Linked DNA regions of Oreochromis niloticus. The protein of the gene in region 1 interacts with the protein of each later gene in a pairwise test. Links are inferred from orthologs where the notes say so. Each region holds a gene or a part of one and is shown on either strand. Other genes may lie near its edges.

Region 1 (3,753 bases):
TTTCTTTTACCAGTACACAGAAAATGCAAACCATTGAAACATGAAACATTAATGTTTAAATGTGTGCTCTATAAGAAAACATACAGTTGATGAAAATAAACACCTAAATTCATCTTAAAGAGATCAGGGTAGCCTGTTAAATGTTAGGGAAACAGCTCAAGGTTCAATGTTAACGTTGGGGACTCGGGAATATCTTTGTTCATTACAGATAATATGTTCACATCATGTAAACTTCAGCAGACACCTGGAGACGTCTGCTTATATGAATTATAGTGTTTGTTCAGTGTTTTACATGCACAGAGCTGTTCAGCATGATTATGACTAAGTCTTCCAAAGGAAATTTAATGAACTTGGTGCTGAGTTGGAGCTTGAAAGAAAAAGAATACAAAGAAGTAACTGTGGCTTTGAGTGCTTGTTCCGTTTGTTTTGACTCTTTGTAAATGCCCTTTTGTTAATGTGAAATTTAAAGGAGTGTGAAATAAAAAACTGAATGACTCACATGTGCTTCCAGTTTTTCCTTCTGCAGTTGCTGTGTGTGGCTGTGCTGCTGGACTGCCTTGCTAAGGTAGCGGTCCTCCAGATCCTGGACTCTGGTCTTCACCTTCTCCAACAGTTCCTCCAGCTCTGTGACCCTCTGAGACTGCTGAGCTGCTCGGCTCATGTGCTCCTGAACCTCCATTCTAACAACACACAAAGCAAAGCATCTCTGCACCTGCTGACTGCAGTTTGTGTAGTCCTGAAGGTCCTGAAAGGCTCACCGAATACTTTATTGCAACATAACTTCAATCTTCTACGTAAAATTCTTAAAACAGAATCAACAAGTTAAAATCTCAAAGGGTGAGGAAAGAAGAGCATGTGTACCAAGAGGAATGTGCCAGACTCTTACTCTGGATGGCATTACCATGTCATCTAATAACACTGTGAGGAACCTTGGAGTCATTTTTGACCAGGATATGTCCTTCATATTAAACAAATATGTAGGACTGCTTTCTTCTATAGACCTCGCTGCACTGAATCATATCTGTTATTAATCTCTGTCTCTCTTCCACAGCATGTCTTTATCCTGTTTTCTTCTCTCACCCCAACCAATCACAGCAGATGGCCCCGCCCCTCCCTGAGCCTGGTTCTGCAGGAGGTTTCTTCCTGTTAAAAGGGAGTTTTTCCTTCCCGCTGTCGCCAAGCACTTGCTCATAGGGGGTCATATGATTGTTGGGTTTCTCTGTTTTAATTTGGGGTCTTTACCTGACAATATAAAGCGTCTTGAGGAAACTGTTATCATTTGGCCCTATAAACATAAAACTGAATTGAATAGAGCTGAACTGTTGGAGAAAAGCCAAGCACCAACAGAAACTGCCTGACACTTGGTGAGCATACATACTCCATCTCAGCAGTGTGCCACCCAGTCTCACATTTCATGCCTGTACTGGTCTGTGAGGATCAAGACATGTGTGTTCCTGATACTCATCTGATGTTGGAGAGGTTAAATGACAGCAGGACAGGTGGTCTACACAACACTGCATATACATTATTAATATCCAGCATGTGTCACTGAAACAGACCCCAGCTCTCCTACCCACGTTACAGGACAGTCTGAGGTTCAGTCCGGTAAGATGACATTTGTGTGTGACTGCAATAATGTCCGGGGGGGGGGCTATTTACAGTTTCCATGTTTAAACAGATAGTTGCAAACATGTTGCACTGAAAACATCACTAAATAACATCACATTATCACTTAGAATTTTTCTTACACAGTGCCGAACTTACTTGAGCTGGTTGTTGGACATAACAAGCTCTTGGATCAGGGCCTGCCTTCTCTCGGAGTCTGTGAGCATCATCCTCAGAGTTGTCCTCAGCTCAGCAGCTGACTTCTTGTCCAGAAGGACCAAATCTACAAACACACAGACAGCCGTATACATTACTTATCAAATCACACTGACTAGCCTCTTAAAGCCAAACATTTTTGCTTAAAAATCAAGGTAGAATTTATAGAGAAGTAAACAACAAAAAGACCATTTAAATCATTCTTTTCATTTAAAGTTGCATGTAAATTAAATCTGTTGACATTTAACACAGTAACTTAATTTACTGAACAGCATTGATCAGCTACACTTTATATTGTTGAGCCACTTTATACATCCTGTCTTTAGTCAGCTGAGTAAGCCGTTTTAAATTCTGTTTTTTGTTTCCATTTGTAGTTATTACAGTTTTCAGCCTCATACGATTGTTCACTTTCGACCACCGTAACACGTGACCTTTGATAAAGTCTATCTTATACTCGTACTTTTATTCTTACCTGCAGGACTCTTATTCTCGGCGGGATCTGCAAAAAACACCGGTTTAAAACCATGATGTTGTAAACGTTTGTTCACGTCATCCCACTCCACTTGTTCCTGCTGCAACACACACAAACCATCACTGACAGCGGAGTTCAACACTTTCCAGTTAACAGAAATACAGCTCTACCTGAAACTGCTTGTAGCTCCACAGATAAACATATGTTTGATTTCTTGACTGTAAAGCATAAGTAGTCCTGACGTCCATATCCACGCGTAAAAACGTCCCACTCAACGTAAACCCAGCTTTCACTAACAATGCAGCTCGTGTATCTGAGAGTGGTCGCTGAAGCTAAGCAGTGTATGAAAGGCGACCCAACAACCCTGCAGCCTCGGATCACCTTAATCATGCTGTTTTAATACGTAGCTTACCTGTTTCATCGGTTCAGTCTACAGAAAGAAATCAACAAGTGTCCAAAGGGCTTCAGTGAACAGCTCTTCTTTTGGCGTCTCAACACAACTTGGTAATCTTCGTTTAATGTATTCTTTAATCAGCCAAACCACATTCATTCACCTTAGACTTCCTAAAGTGGTTAAATTAAGTCCTTACTGTAAGTACTTCCTGTAAAAAGTCGATAAATAAACGTCCAGTTAAAAATATAATCCTAATCAAGCAAACAGGCACAGGCAGTGTTAGCAGCACTAGTAGCTAACAAGTTAGCGTTGGCCCTGAACGTTAGCTTAGCAAATATTAATGTAGTGAACAAAGAAGGCTGGTACCGATAATTTTAGTACAAGTTACCAGCTGTTGATGTACACTTTGCTCATTTTCAGTCATCTCATACAGAAAATATGCTCCTTCCGTCATTCAAATAAGTGCGCGATGTAGTGATGTGTCGGTCGCGAACGAAACGGCTCTTAGAGCCGACTCTTTGAAGTGAACGACGCGAGCCGGCTCCTTATTGGGAGCCGTGTTTTTTTCTTTTCTTTCTCTCACCCTCTCTCTCGCACTTTTTTCCGCTTCTCTCCGCACGCGAGCCTTGTGCTTGCGCTGAGCAGAGGGGGGAGGGGCGGTAGTTACACTCGCAGTTGCACAGGAACAGAGCGGGAGGGAGAGACAGAGAAAGAGAGCCAGGGACAACAACGTCACATTAGAAAGGTATAGTAATCATCCACAACTATTTTCAGTGGCAGATGATGAAGGATTCAGAAAGTTTATTCATGCAGCCCCATATGACAGAGAATGTGCATCTTCTTTTTGTTTTCATATTTTAATTTATATTTAATTGTGTTGTGGTTTGCAGTGTTTTGTTTTGTTTCACTTTAAATTTGTTTAAAAGGAAAAAGCTGAAAATGTAAATTGTTAAAAGTTGAAATGTAAATAGTTGGTTTTTGTATTTTATAATTAATTTTTGACATTTTATGTGGAGTGAATAAATAAAAGAGACAAAGAGACAAAACACGTACAAACTCCGAAGCA
Region 2 (3,753 bases), on another chromosome or scaffold:
GACTGCAAAACTCTGGACCAAAACTGATGTTTATAATAACAACTTGTTTTGTTTTTTTGTAATTAGTATATTACATATTTTTACCATTAACTATCCACCTTTTTTTGCAGGTGAAATAAAGAAAAGATCACTACACTGTTTGAACATTAAGTCAGCACAAAAGTTAGCTGACACATCAGAGTAACAATGCTAATCAGCAGTCAACAAGGACAGTATCTGATGCTCATATACTCTACCTATCATAATGCATAAGTGGTTGCTAATATTTAGTCTGCTTTCACTCTGTTGTTTCATAAAAACAGGGTGTTTCCTGTATCAGTGTGGGCCTTTTAAGGGGTTCTGGACATCTGGGTTACGTTACGTATCAAAGTTCTATATGTTTTCCAATACATCTTGTCTATTTGATCAACAAAAATGTATTTTAAGCTTTAGTAAGTTAAATGAAATGGTTAAAAATATTTTTTAGTCACAGTGGATGACAAAAAACCTTCACTGATGGGCTCAAAGCTTCTTTAAATACAGTAAAACCCTAATAATCTCTGCAATGCAATACATAAGTGTAGCAAAGAACAATCTGTTCTCGCATGATAACATTTTATTCCGGCCCGCTACATTTTACACCCTGTGATACTGAGCTACTTCAATGTCATCTCACGTTTCCTGTCCTTTACTTTACTTTACTTTACTTTACTTTAATGTACAGTACTGACATTACTTTTTGGGGTAACTTTTCTGTAATACATTTGATTTAAAAAAAAAAGTCTGCCTTTTTAATATATTTATTTTTGCATCCCGCTATAAAAAAGCTTTAATATTCTAGATATTTATTTATTGTATAAAATGTAAATTAAAAAGAGAATGCATTAATTTGTATTATGAAATTCTTAATCACAACTGAAAACATAACCAATGTTTTAAGTGATTTTGTTGGCAGCAACAAATCTCAAAAAGTTGGGACAGTGGTAACAAAAGGCTGGAAAAGTAAGCTTAACTAAAAGGAAACAGCTAGAGGAATATTTTGCAGTAATTTTTGCAAAATTAACTGCCAACCGCTCAGTAACATTATTGGGTATGCAAAAACTGTGTCTACAAGTTGTGTACCAATTTCAGCATAAAGCTATTCAATGTAAAATTACAAAGACTTTGAATACCAATACTAGATGCCTGTGATTTTTGGCATCACAGGCAGCAGTGCAGTAAAAACGCTGCCTTCTCTGGGCCAAAGCCTATTCAAAATGGACTGACGCACAGTAGAAAACTGTTTCTCAAGGTACAACTTGTGCATTAGTGCCTATGGAACTGGAAGCTTGCACATCTGGAAAGGTACCATCAGTGCTTCAAGGTACATTTAGGTTTAGGTTTACTTGACTTAAAAAGCTACACTTTACACAGTATTCTAACTTTTTTGTAACTAGGGTTGGACTAAGAGCGTCTCAGGTAGGCTCTACTGAAAAAGGACATTTACTGCACACTGTTATTATAAATGAGTACGTTTTTTTAAGTTGTTCAAGTTAGTAACCTTGCTTCTGATCATATCTGGTTTAAATTTGAGGTATCCTGCTCAGACTACAAGGGGAAACAGAGCACCAGGTAGGGTACAGTAACAGCACGCCACGGTCATCCATCCGGAGTCACCTCTTGCTCCGCGCGCTCCACGCGACGCTTGGCCTCGCGCTCCTCCTCTGCTGCCTGGGCCTCGTCCCTCCGCACTCGAGCGACGTTGTCTTTGTTGCGGACATGCCAGCTCTTCTTCGGAAGGATGTTCATTGTTCCCTTGGCGACTGTTACTACTGTAGGTTAGCAGTCGGCTAGCAGCGGCAAAAGTGGAAGGAAAACGTGAATAAGTTCCCCAAAGTAAAACCGCTAGTTGTGGAACTAAGTGCGTCAATGTCCCAAAGCGGAAACGTATATAAATATACAAAAACAAACTTTATATTTGCAGCTTTGACCTCCCGAGAGGCAGAGCTAACGAGCTAATGTTAGCCGATGTTTTCTACTTTCCACCTCTACTTTACCTTAAGGACTCAGCACCACGCAGAGATATCACATTTCCACAAATTTAGCAATGTTTTTAACATTTTACTTTCTAAAACAGGGCCCAGGCGTTGTCACCAACTTGCTGAGTGAAGAATTTCTCTTGTTGGACAGGTAGCAGGAGCTCATAGGAACAGGCAGACCCAAACAGGAAGTAAACAGTAGCTCCATGTTGAAGCAATAACACAATGGCGACAGCAGAGGGGGCTGTTATGTTTCTCATTTTATTTTATTATGTAAAGAAAAAAATATCTGCTTTGAAGGACAGACATAAAAGGCACTAATCTATTTACATAGTGGAAATGCTATACTCTAATAACGATCAAGTTTTAATTCTCCTTCTTTATGTATTCCTTTAAAAAAAAATCACAACTTTTAATACAATTATCTTCGTGCAGACGTGTGTGGTAAAACCTAGCCTGCATTAAATTATAAACATAAAAACAAGTCTTATTATGTTGTTTTCAAGACAGTAAATCCTTGCCCATATGTCGTGTTCAGTCTTGTACTCCTGCATGATGTGTCGGTATGTGAGCTTGCCGACTCGGGCTCTCAGTCTGCTTGATCAGGAACTGTTTGCTCTCCTGTAAACCAAGTCCATGTGAGAATCAGGAAACCATTTAACTTACTGTTTAAAAGTGAAGCCTAATGACTAGTGGTGCAACGGATCACGGTTGATCTGAAATCCGAACCGATCCCACGCCACGGTTCGGCACGCACGTGATCCGAAGATTCGAAAAAGAAAAAAATAAATATGTGTATGGTGCGCGTGGTCAGTCTGTCAAGCGGTAGTTATGGCCAGCGCTAGCGGTCCAAGTGGCGGAGCAGAGGAGTTTGCGGCATTTAAGCAGCCCTTTGCTGCCCAATCCGACCGGGCTAAAGCTATTGCAAAAGCTACTGGGGTGTTTAGCTGCAGACGGGAGGCCGTATTCCGTTGTGCAAAACAAGGGGTTTAAACTGTGATGAACGTGCTTGAGCCACGCTATGATATCCCGTTGCGCGTCCACTTCAGTGACAAGATCGTTCCAAGCATGTATGAGCAGGAGAAGTTTAAAGTTATGGCTGAACTGTCTCAGGGATCTTCTGTTGCTCTAACTACAAATGGGTGGACCTCCAGGGCAACGGAAAGTCACGTGACCGTGACCGCTCGTTATATCACAGCGGAGTGGTAGTACACTAGATTAGATGAAACTTTATTTATCCCTCGGGTCGGTTCCTCCGGGAAATTCAGTTTCCAGTTGCACAGCACCGACAGAAGTTGCAGAATGTGAGCAGAAATATACCATATATACACACATATAAATACAAAGACATATATAAATACAGAGAATACAAAAGGGATAAATAGAATAAATAGGAATAAGAATACAAGGGAACGGCACATTTCAAGTATCGTGAGTCTATTACACCGTTGGATATTAACAAAAACTGTTGCTCCCCTCCAGCCAGGAGTTAGACAGTTTGATGGCGTGTGGGACAAAGGACTTTTTAAATCTGCTGGTCATTGACTCTGGGAGAAGCAACCTCTCACTGAACAGACTCCTCTGGTTGTTTATGGCCGTGTGCAGAGGATGCAGAGGATGCTCAGCATGGTCCATAATGTCCATATTGCACCTTAAGTTGTTTTTATATAAGTGCGTGGAATGAGTCTTCAGCTGAATGTTTTTTAATAGGCAAAAAATACTTAAATAAGTAAATGGCGAGTCGAATTTTTGTCTT

Evidence for each region.
Region 2: the proteins of cep70 (region 1) and leng1 interact in binary tests that used the Homo sapiens proteins (3 or more experiments, as listed by UniProt). The two-hybrid records come from large-scale screens. The link is inferred for Oreochromis niloticus from reciprocal best matches to the Homo sapiens genes CEP70 and LENG1.

Annotation. Positions count from the first base shown.
Region 1 is NC_031986.2:2,894,787-2,898,539, reverse strand, and holds the start of cep70 (centrosomal protein of 70 kDa), read right to left. Parts: upstream 2,593-3,753; 5' UTR 2,542-2,592; coding exon 2,464-2,541; intron 2,394-2,463; coding exon 2,294-2,393; intron 1,889-2,293; coding exon 1,765-1,888; intron 681-1,764; coding exon 500-680; intron 1-499.
Region 2 is NC_031976.2:22,043,174-22,046,926, forward strand, and holds the start of leng1 (leukocyte receptor cluster member 1), read right to left. Parts: upstream 2,234-3,753; 5' UTR 2,117-2,233; exon of another isoform or gene 2,016-2,116; intron 1,809-2,015; 5' UTR 1,768-1,808; coding exon 1,636-1,767; intron 1-1,635.